Caenorhabditis elegans: one gene and its partners. The protein of the gene in region 2 interacts with the protein of the main gene of each other region in a pairwise test. Each region holds a gene or a part of one and is shown on either strand. Other genes may lie near its edges.

The links.
Region 1: the proteins of ftn-1 (region 2) and gst-33 interact in a two-hybrid assay, tested with the Caenorhabditis elegans proteins (one large-scale study listed by BioGRID).
Region 3: the proteins of ftn-1 (region 2) and Y39A1A.3 interact in a two-hybrid assay, tested with the Caenorhabditis elegans proteins (one large-scale study listed by BioGRID).
Region 4: the proteins of ftn-1 (region 2) and nfya-1 interact in a two-hybrid assay, tested with the Caenorhabditis elegans proteins (one large-scale study listed by BioGRID).

Annotation. Positions count from the first base shown.
Region 1 is NC_003283.11:3,465,619-3,470,870, forward strand, and holds gst-33 (glutathione transferase), read right to left. Parts: upstream 2,945-5,252; 5' UTR 2,872-2,944; coding exon 2,812-2,871; intron 2,548-2,811; coding exon 2,154-2,547; intron 2,103-2,153; coding exon 1,915-2,102; 3' UTR 1,833-1,914; downstream 1-1,832. Other genes in the region: slc-28.1 (Sodium/nucleoside cotransporter), read left to right, coding at 1-75, 123-394, 448-521; srbc-29 (Serpentine Receptor, class BC (Class B-like)), read right to left, coding at 3,872-4,018, 4,060-4,158, 4,205-4,312, 4,629-4,993, 5,042-5,118, 5,170-5,252.
Region 2 is NC_003283.11:7,545,190-7,550,702, reverse strand, and holds ftn-1 (Ferritin), read left to right. Parts: upstream 1-3,123; 5' UTR 3,124-3,139; coding exon 3,140-3,196; intron 3,197-3,656; coding exon 3,657-4,010; intron 4,011-4,056; coding exon 4,057-4,158; 3' UTR 4,159-4,235; downstream 4,236-5,513. Other genes in the region: C54F6.19 (SWIM-type domain-containing protein), read right to left, coding at 5,112-5,216.
Region 3 is NC_003281.10:10,592,652-10,598,000, reverse strand, and holds Y39A1A.3 (Sjogren's syndrome/scleroderma autoantigen 1 (Autoantigen p27)), read left to right. Parts: upstream 1-1,513; 5' UTR 1,514-1,532; coding exon 1,533-1,772; intron 1,773-2,114; coding exon 2,115-2,211; intron 2,212-2,344; coding exon 2,345-2,643; 3' UTR 2,644-2,743; downstream 2,744-5,349. Other genes in the region: epg-6 (Ectopic P granules protein 6), read left to right, coding at 869-1,044; Y45F3A.9 (rRNA methyltransferase 1, mitochondrial), read left to right, coding at 2,839-2,939, 3,477-3,590, 3,752-3,875, 3,929-4,089, 4,149-4,489, 5,036-5,079; Y45F3A.8 (ShKT domain-containing protein), read left to right, coding at 5,212-5,320.
Region 4 is NC_003284.9:11,941,953-11,948,709, reverse strand, and holds nfya-1 (Nuclear transcription factor Y subunit nfya-1), read left to right. Parts: upstream 1-1,871; 5' UTR 1,872-1,907; coding exon 1,908-2,099; intron 2,100-2,385; coding exon 2,386-2,716; intron 2,717-2,759; coding exon 2,760-2,852; intron 2,853-2,912; coding exon 2,913-2,983; intron 2,984-3,039; coding exon 3,040-3,126; intron 3,127-3,173; coding exon 3,174-3,258; intron 3,259-3,385; coding exon 3,386-3,613; intron 3,614-3,689; coding exon 3,690-3,816; intron 3,817-3,871; coding exon 3,872-4,106; 3' UTR 4,107-4,425; downstream 4,426-6,757. Other genes in the region: F55G7.3 (BLVR domain-containing protein), read left to right, coding at 6,659-6,757. UniProt on the Caenorhabditis elegans protein: Component of the sequence-specific heterotrimeric transcription factor (nfya-1-NF-Y) which specifically recognizes a 5'-CCAAT-3' box motif found in the promoters of its target genes to regulate their expression and control cellular identity in particular tissue types.

The DNA of each region.
Region 1 (5,252 bases), 4.1 Mb from region 2:
AATGTTATTTGGTTATGCATTTTTCCCGTTGGCATACATAATGGGTATTACCAATAATTCGAATCAAACCTTGTTGTGAGTTAGGTTTGTTTTCGAATAAAAAACACACATATTTGTTAAAGAGTGGCTCAACTTATGGGCTCCAAAACTGCCGTAAACGAATTTGTGGCATATGATAAACTGGGTCAACTTCAAAAAGAAGGCAAGCTGGATCCCAAATCAGTGCTAGTTGCCACTTACGCACTCTGTGGATTCTCCAATTTTGGCTCAATGGGGATTCAAATGGAAGTTATTGGAGGTCTGGCTCCAGGGAGGAAAACCGTGGCTTCCAAGGTTATGCTCCGTGCTCTTTGTGCAGGAGCCATCGCTTGTTTTATGAATGCTACTGTTGCAGGTTAGAGGGTTTTGAATAGGAAGTTAAATTTATTAATTTGAAAAAATTTTCAGGAATCTTAATTTCCGATCCAGTGGTTTGTAACAGTGCAAACTCGAATTCCACGTGTTTTAGGATACCTTCATGATATGAGGGTGTGTTGTGGATATTTGTTTTGTAATTTAATTTGTAACTATGAAAATTTTGAATAAACTTTATACAGGGTGTGCCAAAAGTATGGTAACACATGAAGCGCTCTTTTACATGAGCTTTTCGCGCGTCTGCCACGTTATACGTACATTCTTCTATCGAATACTAATAGCTGAATAAATTTCCTTCAATTTGACCTAAAATTTGCAATGTTTCCCAATAAGGTGCGGTTTTAATCACCTCGGCAATTTAGCGAACCCTTTCGAAAAAACGGTGTTTTGGCACGCGGCACTTCCCACACAAACACACCTCCCACGCACGCCAATAATTTTCAGATGTACATATGATTTTTATGTTAAATTCAAAGTTAAAGAAGTGAAGAAGCGCTTTTGATTGTTTTTGTAGCCTATAAAAATTTTCTGTGTCGGCACTGGCGCCTAGCAATAACCTTTGAATATTTCATGAATTCAACTTTGCGAAATTTACTCAGTTTTTTAGGTTTCGCAATCCATCTTTCTGGTGACTGTGTCATTCAAGACTTCAGCTACTGCCACAGTCCATGACAGAAATACCACGATAGAAATTTTTTGGGTTTTTGTTTTTAAAGAATCTCCAGACCAAGAGCATTCTTTGAACTATAAAAACTTATAAGAAACTTAATGGATTCCTTGAGAAAAATGTAGAAATCCCGCAGAATGCCAACTTGCGTGCCAAAAAGATCGTGATCTCAAAAGTTCTGAAGGCCTGCAGCAATGTGGATGGGGATATTTTGAAAATTCAAAACGTTCATCTGGTCAGTATTTTATGGAGAACAAAACTTGTACAAATTGATGTAATAACTCTCTCCACACGTGAAGTTATAGAGCTGCAAGCGTGTTACCATACTTTTGGCCCACCCTGTATATTGAGTTATTGAGAAATTCAAAACTGTTTTATATAACGGAAAAAAAATAATTAAATTATACATATTTTGGGAACTTCGAAACTGATTGTGAGCGAAAGGTAGGCGTTTTGCGCGTCCGACTTTTTTCGGGATCGGTCATTCATTATGTTTCTTAAGTGGGTGGTGGAACCCAGAATATGTCGGGCGCGCTAAACAACTCCTAGATTTTGAATTTGCTGCGTCCATTTCGGAATCGCTTGAAACCGGTAAACTGCATTTTATAAGAATAATTAAATTTTTTTGCAAATGTTTGTTAATAGTTTCGTTACAAACTTCAGTTTTTTTTTGAAAATTTTCATAAAAATTTTTACGTATAATTTTCAGGCAAAACATATTTTTATATAAAGTTTTTCTCAACTTTTTCTACATTTCCAATGTTCATATTTATCAAATAGTTTACAAAAACATTACAATTCATGAAAAAAACATTTCAAATAGCCAAAAAAAATTATTTTGAAGAGTATGGTCTTGTTTCCAAATATGGCTTGAGCTTCGGGTGCTCAGCGATACGCTTGAAGTAGGCATTGACTACTGGGAAATCGGTTCCCAAAAATCCTTTTTCCAACTCAATCAAAGAAGTTGTGGTTTCGAAGAAGAAGAGATCGGGAAACGAGATTCCACTGTCCAGGAGGAATCCTAGAAATAAATGATATAATTTTTCAACGCCTTCTATTTTTTCCAACTCACCAGATTTGCTCTTCTCCAATCTCTTGCTCAGAAGCTTGAAATACTTCTCCTTAGCAGGGTCCAACGAAGTTTTCTTCAACTCGTCGCGATCCCCAGCAGCACCAGGATACCCAAAGGCAATCATTGCCCATGGCTTCATGTCAATCAAGAAGTCCTTGTAAAGATCGGTGAATGCGTCAGCCCAGGCCTTCTCTACCGGAGTTTGTCCAGCAAATCCAAGTTGATTGGCAACAAAGCGAGCGATTGCAACGGATTGTGGGATCTTCTCACCGTCGACTTCTAGCACAGGCATTTGCCCGAACGGCATCTCGTTTTTAAGGGTGTTTTCTTCCTTGATCCAGTCATCGATTTCGTATCGGACATCTTCGAATTCGACGCCGGCCATATGGAACATCTGGAGAGAGTTTCAGTTAATAAAAAAATGTGGAAGGTTTCGAAAAAATTGAAGTCTCGTAGTAGAAATTTTTTAAAAATTTAGAAATTTTTATGGGTAGTCAAAAAGTAGTGAAACTCCGATTTTCAAAAATTTTGGAATTCGATCCAGATAATTTTTTTCCTACGATTTATTCTTCTAATTTTGTTTTACCTTCAGAAGCAAAATTTCACAAAAAGTAACCAATTTTGGATTTAGACAATTTTGTTTTAAGTTGAAACTTACAGCTCTCGAAGCCTCTGCATATCCGCGAGCGTTGAAGTAGTGAAGACGGTACTTGGTCATGTTGAACTCGAGTGTGTCAAATTTAGAATCTGATGGGAAAAAACTTTCCGAAAACTGTTTATATACTCACCCAGTCACATTTTGATCAGAAAAATTCATAGAAACAGAAAGTACACAGTTTCGGGTCTAGGCACAAACTAGGCACGGAAAATAGTATTGGAGAATGAGAGAGTGGTAGAGAGTGAGACAAATAATCGGCACAAAGCATGAGAAACACATACTCCAATATGACGTAGAATGTGGGTGAAGATTATGAAGGAAGAAAATTATTTTAAGGAAGTGAGAGTTTTAAGCTTTGGATTTGAAAAATTGTAATAAAATTTCTCGAAAATAATTTGAAATACGTTTTTAAGTGCAATCAAAAACTTTAAATTTACTGCGATTTTTAAATTTTAATTAATTTCAATTTTTTGTATTTTAAAATTATTGGGGTTTGAATATGGTTTGCCGATTCGTCGATTTGCCGGAAAATTTAATTTTTGGCAAATTGCCGATTTGCCGTTTGCCCAACATCAACTTGCCGGAAGTTTTTAGAGCGATTTTTTATAAGACGCAAACACTTTAAACTGTGCCTTTTACAAAATTGTCTCGTTTGGTTTAGATATTTTCGAAGGAATTTGCTTATTTTCCAAAATAGATGTAAGAGCATACATGAGATGCGTACAATGTTGCCGGTTAAAATAAAAATTCAGAAATTTTCAACAAAAAAATGTGCAAAACTACAATTTTCTGAAAATTTTTGGCAATTGCCGTTGTTCCGGTAAATTCGGCAAATCGACAGTTTACCAGTTTACCGATTTGGCGGAAATTTTCGATTCCAGTAGTTTGCCGATTTGCCGATTTGCTGAAAAAATCGTTGCCGCCCACTCCTGGTTGGAACTTCGATTTTTCAATTATCAAAAGGGCCTAAATACCATAATGAAATTTTATTTGCAGTCGTCATTTGGCATTCCGATACAAATATATGTTTTATTTTATAAAAAATCGAAAAATTCAAAAGCTATCTGGAAATTTTAAATTGCCCAACCGCGACCGAACTTTTCATTTTTGCACTTTTTGGCTTTCCAAAATACAAGAGACTTGAGACGACTGTTGATTCTATGGCACATCCGATGGTTTTCATTACCGCTGTAAAAGGACCCAGAACCTGTAAAGGGTGCACTTATTTTAGAAATAAAAATTTTTTACTTCAATTGAAAAAATGTTAGGCCACATCCCGCCGCAAAAGACCGGAAGAAAATCAAATAAAAACACTGTACAAGTGTCCAGTAATGCCAGACGATTTGCCTGGAAATTGAGGAATTGAAAAAATAATTTAGTAACATGTTTTTACTTTTGTAGGTTTGTTATTGATTGGATGTTTCTTTAAGTATTTCCGATTTCGTAGGAATAAATTGACAAAGAGAAGTATAGATACAAATACGTTGATGGAAAATACAGTCTGAAATGAATAGAATTTTGTTGTGTTTGGAAGTTTTAGAAACATTTCCTGTCTCACCTGGTAAACTTTTTTTTCCAGATTTTTTGAATTTTTAGAAACAAAATTTTTTTCAGAAACAAATATTTGAAATTTATTAGGAGGCCAAAATAGTCCCGGGTTAAAAACCATAATTTTACACTTTTGCCCTATTCCGCTTTTTCACTATTATTTCAAGTTTGACAGGTGGAAATATTTTATCGAGTTAGAAATTCCCAAAAAAACTCAAAAACTGCCCGAAACCGAAAAATGTCTGCTGCTTATTGTATAGTTTACTTACACTTCTTTGAATTCTGAAATAGTTGGAGAAACATTTGTTAACTGCACAACCGAAATTCTTGCAGTTTTCAGGAATTAAATTTGTTTTGCAGTCACAAAATACAAATAGAACTATATAATCGAAAGAGCCATATACCAGGGCAACTTGGAAAATTAAAAATTTCGGAACATTCTGAGCACTAGTTCTGTATAAAATTGGAAAGTACACTGCAGTGGCTCGTTCTAGTGCAATTGAAAGTGCGATTATAGAACGGCATGATCCGACAATATACCAAGGAAGGCCCAAAAAAATTAAAAAGCTGCGATGTTCGACCATAAACAATGAATTCTCAGAATAAAATAAAAGGAAACTGATGTATGACAACACTGGAAATTTTTTAATTAGAAAAAAAGAAAACACTGGTTTAAGCTTACACGACAGACCAAAACAAACGTCCAGAACGAATCGATAATAAAATAATCGCATTTCAGGTTTCCGCTGGGATTTTTTCCTGGAATAAATGAATATAATGAGAAAAATGGCATGCAAAAATTAGACTCACAAAACAATTATCCATACTAAATTGAGATTAAGTAGGACATCAAATATTGCACAGACTATACCAGTCACAAGTACCAGTACAAG
Region 2 (5,513 bases):
TCATAATTGAACAACTATAAGTGAGACTTACAGCAAATGCATTTGCATCCGTTGCATGGGGAATAATTTTCTGGATGGCAATTTACGATACAGACTGAAATTTTACACAATAACGTATTGAATCATGTGCTCATGGGTGGTAGACACGTTTTAATTAAAAAAAAAAAAAAAAAAAAAAAATCTAAGAAATAGTTTAAATATTATTAAGAAGGTGTTTTCAGGTCAATTTTTTGAACGAAAATTATAATGAAAGAGAGCCACGTGGCAGCAGCATTTATATTTTTCAGAAAACCCACAACTTACTCCGAATGCCTGCTGAGTACCTACAATAGAAAAAAGTTCCAGTGCACAAAATACAATGGGAAAAAGACACCTCTGCATGGTAGATTCGGTATGATTTTAATGGTGGCGGGCTTTTTTACCGAGGCGACAAATCCCTGGACAGATTAAAAAGTAGAATACGGAAATTCAAAAAGATACATTGAAATTTTGTGAATCAATTAATAATCTGTCGTGATTTGTGCAGAGGTGAACAAATCATGCGGGTTTTTCTATGATTTCAAACACAGGCAAAGCGGGTACGGTCCGTTTACGGATCTTGGACCGGGATCGGACCATTAACGGGTGAACTACGGATATGAATAGCGGGACGGACCAATTACGGGCAAACTACGGGGAATGTAAAAAATGGCCATTAAGAGGAAAAAATGGATTTTAAGAAAACGAATTGTTTTTAATACCTATGATACCAGTTGGCTAATTTAAGCATTTTTACGTCGTTAAATGCATTATTTAGAGCAAACACCACATTTACCGACCGAGATGGCTCTTGAGCCGTAGTTGGGCCGTTTCCGGTCCGTAGAAGGTCCGTCGCCGGCCCGTAGACGGACCGTAAATGAACCGTCCCGGGCACCAAATTTTTGTTTTTGAAAATTTCAGGTTCTAGCACGGAAAAAGTGCTGAAATTAGCTAAAGGAGAGTACCCTCTCCTTCTCTCTTCGGCACTTCAAAAACTCCATTTTCATGAAAAATTTTTTCGTATTATCCTCCGTTTTGGTGATCATCCGTAGTTTGGCCGTAGCCGGTCCGTAGATGGTCCGTAAATTACCCGTCCCGGTCGGCAAAACTGCACTTTTTAAAACTAAACCTTGAATCAGGCAAAAAATTAACCAACTGGCTACAATGAACCAAATAGCATTGTAGGTACTTCAAAAACTCAATTTTCATGAAAAAAAAATTCCTCTGGGCAACCATTTTGTCTATCATCTGTCCGACTGGTCCGTACGCGGCCCGTAATCGCATGCGATCTAACTGAGGCTATTAAGCAGAACATTGTGTGTAAAAGAGGTTATATTAATGTATATAAAAATATCAATAAAAAAGATGAAATGCCACAATTGGGTAGATACTGTGTATACGCAACGTTCACTCTCTCTCTGCTGGTCTTCTTCAGCTGAGCAACAGGAGCATTTTTTGAAATATCATAAAATATTTTACTAACAATACATTCTGGAATCATTCCTGATATCGTTTCTGTTCCGTGTGTATTTTAAGAAATTAAGGTATCATTCAAGTAGAACGCATATACCTTATTTCCTCTATTAGTCTTGCAACCCTACGGTCCAATCGAAAATTAGTCTTGCATGCAAGACTAATAGAGGAAATATGGTAAGTACCATTTCTGTATTACAAGTAGATGGAGCACAAATAGGTAGATGTTGAGAAATATGCGAAATAAGTTCTGGACTACACGAAACTGTCAATTGTTATCGTTCGTTTTCATATAAGTCCAACGGCAAGATGGAGAATCAGAAACTACTGAAAATACAATCGAAAAAGTTGGTGTAAGCCGTGAAAACCAGAAGAAAATGCGCTGATCGCTATTTATGCGAAGTCTCTTGATATTCCTCGCGTGCGCGAATGGCCACACGGAAAGGTGATGGGCCAGTAATCAATCGACAGGCAGTGGACAAGTTCAACCCCGGCTGAGGCAGATAGAATTGCTACAACGAAGGATCACCGGAAGACGGTCTGGAGGAAGACCGGAGCTTGGAGCATTGGGAAAGAAAAAGGGGGCAGCTGGAGGGTGAAAAAATTTTCCCATTTTTTAGTCTCCTTACGGTTCAATTACGGTCCGTTGACGGACCGGGAATCGAACCGTGAACTGTTCTTTAATTTGAGCCGTTCCCGGTCCGTGAACGGACCGTTTTGGGCACTTTCCGCTTTGCCTGTGAAAAAACAGTTCCACTGAAAAGTGTTTTTTTGTAATTTTTGATACTTGTTCAAGTTATTAAATGGTCTGCTCAGTTTTCAGTGTTTTTTTTTTGAATTTCGCTTTAACCTGAACCATCCTAATTCAAAAGTATCAATATTCTGACGCAATATTTAAATTTTTTTTGTTAAACTATATCACTTTTTCCATCCAACTTTTGACTGTCAACAGCTCACGTAGCCAATGATAAGAGCGGCACGTACCGTTTGTTATCACTAAATTTTGATGCACGTAGCCAAAATAAATGCTAATCAACATGTCTTAGGGCAGCTCATGTGATGCCGAGACAACCATACATCAACGTTAAGAAAGTGTAGATCATCATTTGATGAGAATTGGGTTTTGTTTGGATCAGGAAAAACCGGAACTTTTTATTTCAGAATTTAGGGCGTTCACTGGAAACGTTCTAACAATACTGGTATAATTTATCTCCCAAAAAACACTTTTCAAGTTTATAACCTATATCTAAGTTTAAAAATTTTGAGTACAGGACAAGTATGAGTTTACGAAGCATCATATTAAAATCAAAATGTAATGTGAATGTGGACGCTAGAAAGCCAGGCGAAAAGGGACATCACACTTCTGCAAAAAGTTATTTTCATTCGGCGATCCTTGGATGTAGTTTTCTTACAGAAGGTTAAGCTTCTCAAAATGTACTTCAACACTTAGGTTTCCATATTAGTTCATTGAAACGCATGTTTCTGTAAACAAGAACCCTTTCGTTGCCAATATGTAATGTGCAAAAATCATAATCAGTTTATCAATGATCACAATCACAAACTCCGCCCCCAGAGTTGTCCAGTTTAAAAACACCCACAGTCCCGGACACGTAATCAAGTCATTATATTTTCTGCCAAGTAAATCGTCATGTCTCTAGCTCGTCAAAACTATCACGATGAAGTCGAAGCGGCCGTCAATAAACAGGTATGATCATTGTTTTGACAAATGGGAAAAATATATTAGGAAGGTTGGAAATTGAGAAGAGATTTAGAAAAAGAGAGGATGTGTCGTGAGAAAATTAATCACTGATGTCTGGTTACTTTAAATTAGGAATTTAACTGATTAATAAAAACATTGAAACACACCACACGCTTATTTTTCCAACCGGCAACATTTTGTTTTTTTTTAACGAACAAGGGCAGGCAGACAGTACCTGAAGAAGCGCAATTTGATCATGGCAGCGTCGATGATTTCTTTGCTCTTATGCCAGTCATCCAAAAAAAATATACAGAATAGGCGGCAGTAGATAGACGAGCACGTGAGACTGAAAGCGTCTACAATAAAAATCCTATCTGAGCTTGCTTTTGAACTGGACGAAATTAACACTGAAATGCTTTTAAAATTAGAAGTATTACTCAATTAAAAGCTTAAATTACCTTTCCAGATTAACGTAGAACTCTACGCCTCCTATGTCTATCTATCGATGTCTGCACACTTCGATCGTGATGATATCGCACTTCGGAACATTGCCAAATTTTTCAAGGAGCAATCGGATGAGGAGCGTGGCCATGCCACAGAGCTCATGAGAATTCAAGCTGTCCGTGGAGGACGTGTTGCCATGCAGAACATTCAGAAGCCAGAGAAAGACGAGTGGGGAACTGTCCTTGAAGCATTTGAAGCCGCACTTGCTCTAGAGAGAGCCAATAATGCATCTTTGTTGAAGCTTCATGGAATCGCCGAACAACGCAATGACGCGCACTTGACAAATTACATTCAGGAGAAGTATTTGGAAGAGCAGGTTGGCATTTTCAGTTTAAACTCCTATTTTTATAACGTTTATTAAGGTACATTCGATCAATGAATTTGCTCGCTACATTGCAAATATCAAGAGAGCCGGCCCAGGACTCGGAGAATATTTGTTCGACAAAGAGGAATTTTCTGATTAATAATTTTTATTTGATGTATTTATTGTACATATGGATGAAATTGTATATTTACTGAAATGAAACACATTGAAAACTTCAGAGATTAGCAGTTCCTAAAAAGGTTCAACCTTTTTTCAACCTTTGTGGCGGAAATCTGAGACACATAAGGTGTTTTTTAAATGTTTATTTGGAAAAACCGTTAGTATATGGAATTAATACAATATAAGGGAAATATTTTGTATTGAAGCTTACAAGAAGCTTTCATTGTTTACAGCGCCATGTGGAATTCTACGTTTTCAGATGTTTTCCCAAAAACAACATAATATATTTGTTCTGGGTATATCAAAAGATTTCCAAAAAAATTATTTCTAATTTTCAAAAAATATCTCTATCGATGTGGAAAGTGTTGTAGAACTTAAAAAAGTTTCTGTATACTTTCAGACAGAATTTTTGTTTTCAATGGCATTTTTTGAATGTTTTCATAACCAACGTGGCTCAATAATGTTTTTGAAATGCACTTATGTACATTTTTGTTCTTAATTATATTTTCAAAACAGCTTCATTTCTTTAAATAATGTGTATATTTAAAAAAAAACCAAAATTGATTAATTTGCATGTTTGAAGTTCGTTAAAATATCTCTAAAAATATATGGATAGAATTTTGGTAATTATTACGCTTCAACTGGAGGTTTACTCAAACCAAATTTTGAATTTTAAAAGTTAATGAATTGAGCTTCATTTCACTTTTTTGTTATTTTCTTGATTGAATACTTTTAGTTTGTTGGAAAAACTGTAATTTCATTAATGTCTTGGTTTTTTTCTCAAAATGTTGAAAAAAAGAAAAATAATTAAACAAAACATAGGAATTATTTTGAGGATATGAGTCACTTACAGACGAAGATTCTAAGAATGCTTGATTTTTTTTTGGTTGACCATTCTATCTAAATATTTCCTCAATAACTCTTCTTTGGAAATCATTGTTTTCTTATTGTGAGAAAAAGTTTTTTTGCAATATGAGAACATTTTATTGTATAAAACTGCGAAAATTTTTCTAGACACGTTGGGTCTTGCTGCGACATTTCCGAATTTATCAGGTATTGTGATGGCACGGTAGAGTATGATAAGATTACTGTAGTAGGCTTTACGATTCTGAAAGAATTAGTATTACGGAAGGAATAGTTTTACCAAAATCAAGTCTTAATTTTTGTAGTAAAAAAAACGAGAGATTGGACGGGAATCCGCATTCACGAGGGAAAAAATTTCAAAATTTAAAATTTAAATGCGTCCCTTTCGAGATTTTTTGCTTACTGGTAAATTTAGAAAAATTTAAATTTAAAAAACTTACAACTTTAAATCTAACTCAAGAAAACTAATTA
Region 3 (5,349 bases), on a different chromosome or scaffold from region 2:
AATTTGGATTTTTGGAGAAAATCTTTTAAAAAAATGTACTGTTTTTTTTCCAAAAAATTGAAAAAAAAACATAAAAAATTTTAGATATCTCGGTTTTTTTATAGGAGAAAATCAAAAATCAATAATATTCGATTTGTCGATTTTTTCTTTAAAAAAAAACGAAAAAAAATCAGAAAACTATGGTTTTATCAAAAAATATGTTATTTTTCCGAAAAATAAAAGAAAATTGCCTTTAAACTATTAAAAAATGACCGGAAATTATTGAAATTTTGATATTTTTCAAAAAAAAAAATTAAGTTTTTTCTTAAAATCGAAAAAAATTAGTAAAAATAATTTTTAAAAAGGCGAGGAAACTATGGATTTATCAAAAACATGTTGATTTTTATGAGAAAAACTTAAAGAAATTACTGGAAATTATTAAAAATTTGATATGGAAAAAAATCGAAAAAAAAACCAAAAAACATACCTTTCCGAATTTTCTGAAAAAATTTGAAAACTAGTTTTTTATTTTTTTTAAATCGAAAAAAATTATTAAAAACTAGATAATTTCCAAAATAAATTCGAAAATATTCGGCTTAGAGATCTGATATTAATTTTTTTAAATCATGTCCATTTTGTAGACGAATGAGAAATTATTCTGTTAAAAATTCAAAATGTTCCCGATTTTATTTTTAGAAATTTCGAAAAAAATGAAATTGCCCTCAAAAAATAATTTTTCAATATTTTTGAAAATTTTCCAAGCGAAATTTTTTTTCTAAACATCGAAACAAATTATCTGAAAGCGTAGCCGTACGACTATTAATTTCATAATATAAATTTAAAATTATTTGAATATTTATACATATGCCCAATTTTCAAGAAAAAAAAGTTCCAGAAACGCCGAAAAATCTGCAAAGTATCATCGCAATCTGCGCAGACGCCACGTACTGGAGACACGAATTCTACAAGGACAACACTGGAAATTTCACGAGTCATTTTGGGTCTTACGACGAATTGATCGAGGTCGCCAACGATTCATCGTTCTTCCGTACGCCAGTCGAGTAGAAATGTGGAAATGTGTATAAAAAATGTTCAAAATTGTGCTATATTCATCACTCAAACCTGCCATGTGCCTTTAAATTGCTTTAAAAAAAAAGAAATAATGCCATTTTTTTTTCCCGAGAAAGCCCCTCCCAATTGTTGGCATTTTTCGCCCTAAAATTCAAATTTAAAGGTGCAAATGGCCCTACTCACTTCATTTTCCCTCCACTTTCAATTTTTCGTACTTTCTCTCTGAATTTCCTCCTCTACGTTGCGTTTTGCTCAATTTTTCTGTTTCTGTGTGTACATTTTTGTTATTTTTTCCTTCTCTTGGTTAAAAATCCGAATAAAATTCAATTTTTCGTTTAAATTTTTTAGAAACATTTTGAATTTTCCGTTTATCGATCGGCGAAATACTCTTTTTTTTTTCAGAATTTCGAATTTTCGAACCAGAAAAATCGAAAAAAAATCGAAAAAATCTTTTTTTTTCCAGCTTTTCCGTTGCTCAGTTTATGGTCCACAAGAAGTTTGTGAATCTGACGTCGACACGAGAATCCACGTGGATTGACAGAACCCCACATCCCGCGGCACGCAATTATCTCGACGAAATGGCACCAATCAACGGAATTCGTGATGATGACGCTGCGTCAATTCGTCTCCGAGATAGCTTTCGAGATGAGGTCTCGAAGCGAATGGGCGAACTTTTGTTAAAGGGACAGACGATGTTGGATGAGTACTGCCCGACTTGCAGTGTAAGATGAAGACTAATATTACGGTAAACACTAAATTCTGAGAATGCGTATTGGGCAAATCATTTGACACGCAAAATATAAAATATCTCGTAGCGAAAACTACAGTAATTCATTAATTGACTACTGTAGCGCTTTTGTCGATTTACGGGCTCAATTTTTGCAAATCAAGATCCCGTAAATCGACACAAGCGCTACAGTGGTCCTTCTAAAGAATTACTGTAGTTTTCGCTACGAGATATTTTGCGCGTCAAATATGTTGTGCAATACGTATTCTCAGAATTTTGTGCTCCGGTAATACGTGGCCACTGACTGATTATTTCAGTTCAAATTTTTTTTTTTCAGGGAATTCTCATGGAGGACCGAGCTCTCGTGCGTCGTTGCGTCACCTGTGAACTTTTCAGAGAAAAATCGTCGGTTATTGTCGGCGAGGTTTCATTGCGTAAGGGATTTTGTCGCAAAAAATTACTAAAAATTAAATTTAAATTTTTTTATTTGAATTTCTAAAGATCTTCTGAAAAATGTCTTACATTTCGTGGCGAGACCCAGAAATCTATAGACCTATAAATTTTCAGAAGACGAAGACCTGAATGAAGCTGTGAACAACAAGATCCCAACCCCAGCGGCTCCAGTGAATAAACCAGCGAAAAAAGCAGTGCTCCAGAAATCTGCTCCAGCGAAAAAGAAGGAAGCTGTTCCGGCTGCTGCTGAGCCATCATCGTCTGATACAATTGAATCAGCCACCACTGCAGTCCTTCAGAAGCTCGAATGGGCCACCGATCGGCTCAATTCAACGGAAGAAGTCGCTCGTGTCATGGATTTTCTTTCCGTCATTCAAAAATCTGCCGAAACTCTCAAGGCTCTCCGTATTTGAATCTCATGTTGCTCTTTTTGTTTTCGAATTTTGTGGTTCAATTATTGCTTGTTGGTATAATTTGAAACATTTTCAAAATAAATAAACGCTTTTTCCATTTAAATTAATTTTTGAAAAACGTAGTAGTAAAATGCAAAGTTTGAATATCGATTTTAAGGACAATTAGCAATCAATAATCTAGAAAAATTCAGAAAAATGCATCGGACCGCCCGAAATTTTGCGGAGATCAAGCCGAATTTGTTGTTCCGAAAAGCAAAAATGGCTAGGAAATCCGCGGAGAAATATGTGGCCAAAAAGTGGGTCTCGCCACGATTACATCCCAGAGTTTTCAAAATTTAGGTCATATCGAAAATAACGAGTAAAAAATTAATAATTATGTCTTTAAGCTAATTTTCAAGCTTTGGGTCCTGACACGAGTAAGACTTTTGAACTACAGTAACCACTCCAGTACTTTGCAAAGGTGTGTACCTTTAAAGAATACTGTAGTTTCAAACTTTGATTGCTCCTGAATTTTTGTCGATTTTTCAGACTTTGGATAAAAATGTGTTTACTGTTTAAAAAAACCATAAGTTAAAAAAATCGATAATATATCCGCAAAAACTAGAAATTACAGTACTCTTTAAAGGCGCATTCCCATGTGCATTCGGCACCGTATTTTTTAGGCAATTCATTCGCATTTGGGTATAAAAGCCATTAAAACACGAGAAAAACCAGGAAAAAACTGAAAAAAAATTAAACGACTGGTTACGGTAGCTGAAAAGTTATTGTCGTGCCAAGACCAAACAATACAAAAAAATTAATAGCGAGGTTCTACAAAAACGCTATTTTTACAGAATTCAAGTACCTGAACTGCAAGGAGAAGCACTTTTTGGCTTACATTCGGTTTTAGAGGCAATTCGTTCTGGAAAACGCGATTTTCATTCAGTTTTTCTGAAAAAAGCTGTCGAGTAAGCGGGTTTTTTATTTGTACGTAAAAATAGCTGTAATGTGTGCTAAAAAAAGTGCGATGGAGCGCATTTGCACTTGAAATTAAACATTTTTTAAGAAGTTTTTTTTTAACTACAAAATCGGCCCGCCCCTTTACTGGCAAAAAGTTGATTTTTTCCAGAAACCGTGCCGATTCTGACGCCCGAATCAAGGAAATCCTCTCACGAATCGATGAGCTCGGAATTCAAAAAACTCTGCTAACTGATGACCAACTCGATCGGCTCACCGAGTTTCAGCTTCACAATGTACCTTTAAATGCCGCTTCACTCTAAAAACTCAAAAAAAAAATTTTTTGCAGGGAATCTGCATGGACGCCAGCGCTCTGCAATTCTCAAATTTCGAGCCGAAAACCGTGTCGATTTTTGTGGATAAAGTGTTGGATCCTGGGAATTTGGGTGCAATCGGAAGAAGTGCATGGTATTTTGGAGCCGATGGGCTTGGACTTGTCAAGGGAAGAGGGTGAGAATTGGAACACCACATGATTTACGCTGTGGCCTAGAAAAAAACCGATTTTTCAGACCCAAATCGATTACCCCGGCAATGATCAAATCATCGTGTGGAGCCCTGGAGCATCTTCCAGTACAGCAATTTCTCAATTTCAACGAGTTTCGCGACAAAATCAAAGCTGCCGGCGGTGAACTCGTGGCGACTTGTGATCCTGGTGCTGCTGAAAAGGCTGGAATTTCGGCAAAATCACTGGATCAGTGGACACCGGAAAAACCCGTGGGCATTGTGCTCGGCGACGAGGGTGTCGGAATTAGTCGGGGGATTCTGAATCTTTGTGATACTGTGATATCGATTTCCCCAGTGAGGAAAGACGGATCCAATGTGACTTCGTTGAATGTTTCAGTTGTTGCAGGTACTTTCCCATTGGTCGGGACACTGTAGGATTACTGTAGTTTTAGAAAATTAAGTATTTGACGTTTAAAGGGACATTGAGTTGGGGTTAGTTGAGGGATATGGTTGGGGTACTGTAGTAATACTGTAGGGGTACTGTAGGAGTACTATAGGATTACTGTAGGATTACTGTAGTTTTGGAAAAATTGACTTTTCGTCTTTTGAAGAGATATTGACTTTGAGTTAGTAGGGGGATATGGTCGGGGTACTGTATTAGTACTGTAGGGGTACTGTAGGAGTATTGTAGGATTACTGTAGTTTTTGAAAACTTAGTTTACAAAAATGAATAACCTAGTTTCAAAGCTTAAATTCCAAAAAACCAATATGTTTCGTTTTCCGGTTTTCGAAAAAAAAAACAAACAGGAAAATTTTATTTTTTGAATTTCGAAGTTCTATGATTCCCGGCCATTGTTTTTGCTACTTTTAAATCAATAACCGCCCAAAAAACAGGTGGCCGAGTTTTTTTTCACGGCCATGTGGCACATATATACAAAATATCAATTTCCAGGCATCCTCCTTCACCACATTTCACTACAAAATCGTACAAATTGAAACAAGCAGCCATTTGGAGACGCTCAAAATTTGCACACCTGCTCACGGAGCCACCGCCTCTGGATATTAATAGTCATGTACAACCCCCTATATAATTGAGTGACCGGTCGTATCCATTTGTTAACAGAAAATATGTTCCTATTTTTCCTGATATTCCTGTTCTCTTTTGTTACTGCTAATGAAAATTATAATGATAAAAATGTTACTGAACTTTGCTCAAATGGAGTAAAACCTGGAAATTGTGAGTGTTGTTTATTGATTTTTCAGCCT
Region 4 (6,757 bases), on a different chromosome or scaffold from region 2:
TTAATATTTAATAATTAGGTAATTTTTTTTATTATCGAAAATGTAAAACTTAACATAGAATATTAAAAACATGAAAGAAAAAACCAACTTGTTATTTTTTCACATAACGTAATGGAATTTTAAACAATTCAAAAAAAATTTATAAACCAAAGACATTGTGAGAAAACACCTAGAATATTTAAGTTACAGATGACCATTTTCGGAAAACGGCAGATGGTGTGCAGCGTGCGCGGTTGCGTCGCGGCTCTGTGCACACTAGGAAATGAGAAACAGAGTCTTGAGGACTGTACGGGACCAGTTCAAAACACTAATCTGTCGTCAAACGTTGCGCCGTCTGTGCATTCAGTCACTGAGATGTTTGCGGACTTGGTTGTTTTCCTTCTTTTTTTGCGGTTGTAAAAAACAATGGAACCAAACAAAATGAAATGCCAGGTGTATTTGATTGGAAATCTTTAATAAATTAATACAATAATTTTATTGAACAATATATCATGTATTGTCTATTTTGTTTAGAAGTTTCAGAATGAACCCCAATGCTATAAATTATGTGTTGGGATCTTCTTAAATCTGATCTTAAAAGTTGAAATAAAATTTGTGTAACGTTATTTCATTGTCAGCGACGAACTACTGTTATTTTTCTCGTAATACCTCAATACATAATTAATCAGCAATTAGGGTCTTTTCAAGCATAATGCTATCCATTTTAGGTTTGTATAGCTTCAAGTCACATGAACTTTGGCAAAGAAGTGCACAGAAAAAAATTTTGAAGTTAAGTCGGGATACGAAGGAATCAATGCTAAGTTCGGCAGCTAGTGGAAGTCTCCTGTATGTTACAGATGTCCAGAAATTGCAAGATTGCACAAATGCTCTTGTTGATTTTAACTCCAAAACCAGGAAAATGATAGCTTATCCGTTTCAATTATTTTAGCTTATTCCCTTTTTTTCTGTGGAGGAATTTGAAAAATTTTCAATCAATTTCGGTTTTTTCAGGGTTCCTCCATGAGAATATTATTTTGATGTACATGCATACATCGATTTGTACTCCCAAATGGAAATAAATTGCTTCTCTGATCTGATTGTGAAGTCAAAATGATCAAATTTGAAGCTCCTTACAATTGGCCATCAAAGAAACATTTGCATTATTGTTAGCGATGTTGTAGAAATGTGTAAAATTCCTGAAAAGCGAGTGGAAAAAATCACTTGTAATAATTAAAAACTTCTTGCTAATCGCAATGATCCATTCGGGACGTTATCATCAGACACTTCCTAAATCAATTGGTTGTTGGATGCATATTCATCGTCGTGAAGAACAACCTTGGGGTGCGTACGTGCGCGTTGCGGTCACTACATTCTCTCTTCTCCCTCTCCTCTCTGGTCAACACAAATCGATACGAACATTGAGCGTGTACGTGAAGGGGAATTTGTCGTAAAATAGTGCGCATTGGTGCATTTGGTCGTCTCGGTGATTGCAGTCGTTGCTACTAGGGTTCGATACTACGAGACATTTTTGCATACTAGTTTTGCCATTTTTTTTCTGCAGAAATAGTTTTTGAACTTTGAGAGACACTAAAAGTTTAAAATGTAAACTTTTAAGTCATGAAGTTTTTTTCCACCGTTAGAATTCACTACTTCAAAATTATAAAAACCTTTCTTACTTTCTCTCATCTTTTTTTTCGAGAAAACTTTTCAATTATTCTGATTTTCTGAGAATTTAACATTTATTGAATGAAAGTTTTATTTAGACGTTTTGATTTAACGAAAATAATGTTTTACCATAACTTTGTCAATTTTCACCGTTTTATCGGAAAACCATATAAAGCTCAAATAGCCTCAAACACGGAATGTTTCATTATTGATTAATCATTTTTCATTTTCAGGTAAATCCAATCATCAAAAAACAAGACAAAATGAATGGAGCGTCGAGGGGCGACGTGCAGCGCCCCACTCCAGTTCAAGCTCCGGCAAAGCGACCAATTCCGCCTACAGTTTTCCGATTCGAGAAGGCATCCAAAATCGGGACTTCACTGGATACTACACCCAAAGAACTTCCCATAAGACGTCCCGTTCCACTACCAGGACCGCGTTTCGTGAAAGACGTGGTAAGATTAGTTTTTTTTTTCTCAACTTAAATCTGGCATAATAATTTGAAAAGTAATTTTAATTTTTCCTGCCAAATGAACTAAACTCGTCCCTTTCCGTCGATGAAAAAGTATCAAGAAATGTTGAAATGTTGACAAAAAGTAGGAGATGAGTTACACAGTAAAATTAAAAATACAATGAGATGTCATTTAATGGAGAAACAAATGTTGCTAAAACTCTGATGGTATTTATGAATCTTTTTTCGATGTAATCTCAAAGATAAAACTAACCCTATCTTGATTTCAGAACCCCTCACCTCCAGCTACTTCTTCGCCGAACGTTCAAACACAATGCCACCAACCTCCAGTTGTAAGATCTCAAACTCATCAAGCATCAGTTTCACAAACAACGCCTACTCAAACTACACCCTCTCAATATACTCCAGCTAGCGTTTCTACAGCTCGAGCCCCACAATTCCATAGATCGTCCCATGTTACACCTTCACAACAACAACGAATTGAACAAGCATTTGGCCCAGCTCCGGTTTCTCAATCACAACCACAGAACGGCAGTTATATCCAATATAATGAACCAAGCACATCGGTGGCATCTACGACTACCTCATTTTACAGTCCAAGTGAGTGAAGCTAAGTATATAATTTCAAAATTTTTATTTACAGACGAGTCTGAGCCCGTATTCACGCATGCAATATCTTTTAAACCCAATGAACCCGAGAATGGACAGAAAGCAAGGGAGCAACTAGAGTTGTTAGGTATGGTAAATTTTTGATATGTGTGTAAAGTCTACACTGTAAACATACTTATCTATTCAGATTCTGGAAAAATCAATGAGATTAATCAGTCAAAAGTTCCGACGACAATAGAACTGCCGCCAAACTGCAAGGTTAGGGAGTTTTACATTTGTATGTAGATCTAAAGTCAATTTAAATCTGTTTTCAGCTGTTTCAATATTCATGGGTGCTCGACGGAATACCTAGGACGCTTTTGGTTCCAATGCCAATGGATGCAACGGAAGAAGATGTGAAGGTTGATTATAAATTGTGAAAATATCTCCTACAAACATAGAGTTTCAGGCAATGCTTCCAAAAACGTTGGAAATGGATTCAAATCTTTTTAACAATGCTCGGCCCAGGGATGAACTACCAGTACTATCTTTCCGTAAGTCAGATATTTTTTTTCTTTTCACGGGATAATTTAAATTTACACCCAGAAAAATATATTCCGCAAAACTGCATCGGCAATAAAATTATTTTAAACGGTTCCAATGAATAATACCTTTTTTCAGCAAACGGAACAGTACCCAATGTAGAAATGATTGGTCCAAAAGTGCAACAACCCATGCTGGTCAATCCGAAGCAGTTCAACAGAATTATGCGAAGACGTGAGATGAGGCAACAGCTTGAAGCCAGTGGACGGCTCCCACTTGCTCGCCAGAAGTATCTCCACGAAAGTCGTCATCTTCATGCACTAAAACGCAAGAGAGGGCTTGATGGGCGTTTTGACAATACGAAAAGTAAGCAGATTTTCAAAAAATTGTATTAGTGGAAAGATGTTTTGAACTTGAATGTTTAATTGTTTTTACTTTCCAGCAGCCGAATCGTCATCAATGGTCAGCAGTACAACGTCTCCCAGAAAATTGAAACGCCGGAACCGCTTACCTGGTGAAGAAACTTCTGATTCGTCCTCAATAGTTCTCCCATCGCCAGTTGAAATTCAGTTAGTTTTTCTTATTTAAAATTGTTTCATTTTTCAATATGTGTGAATATTTCAGACCAAAGGGCGGGATAGTCAATTCATCGATGCCGTCGACGTCGACTGGATACATCAATAATGGCATGGATCATCAAACGGATTATATCGAGCATCAGCAACCCATGTCTACCTACGACCAATATCACGACCACGTCCAATATATCGCGCCGGATGGTAATGTGAATTACCACAACAATCATGACAATGGCGTCGATTTAACTGGAAGTGATGGACAAAGTTTCACGAATCTCTAATTTTATTAATAGCTTAATGTGTATTGCAACCGTTGCCAAACAAAATTCACCTCACCAAAATCATTCATGTTCCCTACGCTTTTTGCCACAGAAATGTACCTTCTCTTATTGACCGATCTTTTCTTCGGGATTATGCCCATTTCTCTTTCAATGTTTTCAAATTTTTTATCCTCATTATGCATTTTTTAAATCGTCATGTTGGGTTATGTCAGTCTTCAAACTATCCAATGAAAAGCTACACTTTTTTTAAAAGTATGACAGCAAAACTTCGTGTCATAATTGTCTCAAATATAAATCTGTATTGTTAAAAAGCTTCAAAATGTGCTACCACTCTAATATTGATTGTGTTCATGCAATTTGCAAACGAACATTCCCTTCATGCAAGTAAAAACATTTGAAAATTACAGTTTTAGTGTCAGCTAGCACTTTGCAGGAAACAAGCAAGGGCGGTGCCATGTGGATATAGGATTACGGCTTGATCTACAAAAATCTGACACCACATGTGATGGTAATCATGTAGTTGCTGTTCCCCAAATGCTGTTAATGAATTTATTTTTGAAATGAATAATTGTTCCGAAAATTTATTCACACAAATAATTTTTCCGAAACTTTTTCATTTCTAGGCTCAGAAATCATGATTCCTAGCAAATCTAAAAATAAAAAAAATCAGGTATTAGTTTTTCAATTTTGAAAATGTTGTGATATTTTGTGGTACGCATATTGAACAGGTTCCAATTCAATTCTGCATCCCCGTAAAATTTTTTTACTGCCACTTACTTGGAAAAAAGGGAAAAAAGAATACTAAATTTTCAATTCATCCAACAAAAAAAAAATAAAACTGAATCACAAACTGTAAAAATTTGCAATATCATGTTTGGCCATTCTCGTTGTGTTAGGTGTCATAGTCAGTCCACCAATGCGTTCACATTTGTCGAAATCACAAAGAACGACATCTCAATGTGAATCGTTGTTTTGAACACTTGTGATAAGTTCAATAAACATTTCAATAAGACATGAAAAAATAAACCACATATTATCAAAAAATATCAATCGCACAGGCCACGTGGCTTTTGTTTTTTATTTCTTTTTTATTTACGCTCTTCCCACAACTTTATTTTCAAAGATAATTTAAAAACTGAACTAAAGGTCAGACGTGGGAGGAGCGTAAATAAAAAAGAAATAAAAAACAAAAGCCACGTGGTCTGTGCGATTGTTATTTTTTGATAATAATATAATGTTACTTGAAAACTATTGTTCTAAAACAAATGTGTCTGATACAAAACTGCGAACATATTTTTTGCATAAATCAAACTTATTTAACGCTTTTATGACAATAAAAAATTGCATTGACTCACAAGACAACCCCCCAGTTGTCCCACTTCAATCCACTATAAAATTGTTTCTCTACAAATTTTACAAACATGTTTCAAGTTGTTGGCATTAGAATTTTGGGTAACACTGTTTTGGCACGCCCAAAAAAATGTTCAACCAGTTCCAACTGACAATTTTTCAACATAAAGTATGAATTGTTCAGAAACATAATAACGGCACATCTCACTATTTTTGAAAGCTCACAATGAGTTTGATTATGCATCTGAAAAAATTATATTTCGAGGTTTTTCACATACGCGTTCTAGAAAAACTTGTTTCACGTAATATATCAATTGTTAAAAACGTCATTAATAATCTTTTGATTTCACACATGACTCTCACAATAGGAGCAAAGTTAACACCCCTGACGTTTATTTTTGCAATTTTGGTAGATTTTCATTTGTTGACGTCGCAACTCATTAACTCCTCCTCACGTGTCTCCCCTATCAAGTATGAAAACATCAATTATATTTGTACACTTTTGCAATAAGTGTACCCTCTATGCGTCAAATCCACTAATGAATCTCAATTATCCATTTCGTAACTTAAATTTTTGTTCTTTTGAATTTTACACCTTGGATTTTTTTTAGCTAGTTTCCTTATTTTTGTTTTTTTTTCTCCCTATATTTCAATTTCTTATCCATTTTTTTTATTTTTCTGGCCAGCGTGGACCTTCCTTTTGCTGTGCCTGAATTGTTTCTCTATTTTCTCTATTTTGATTAATTCTTTACATTTTATGACTTGACGTTCAGAACCGATTTGCCCACAGTCTATTCGAAAGTAGTTTCTGCGAAACCACCGAAAGTCTGGTTTCGGAGTGGTTAAATTGCATTTCTGATTTTATGATTCGAGCTTATGTTGAGTATATAAACGTAAAATACCCCCAAACCGTTATTCCACCTTTAAGATCTCGGCTACCTCGGTTTTGCTATTCACCTTCGCAACTTCACACGTGTCTCCCATAGCAACTAAAAAAGCATTAATTAGCTTTCTATATATCTTCGCAACACATTCAGATGTATGTATGCGCTACATCGCCGTATTCTAACTTTTCCGTATGAACCACATGAACCACGTGGTTTATGAATCAAAACATGATTTTGCATCTGTGCCCATTCTCTTAGCTTATTTCCGTCCTGTTTTGTTGTTCCTTGATCTAAATGTTTCTTTTTCAGTTAATCATGGACCCTGAATTCTTAGACTCACAATCAGATGAATCATCCGACGACTCGTACGATCCCAGTTACAATCCAAAGCTAGGGAGCGGATTTTTATCTGTC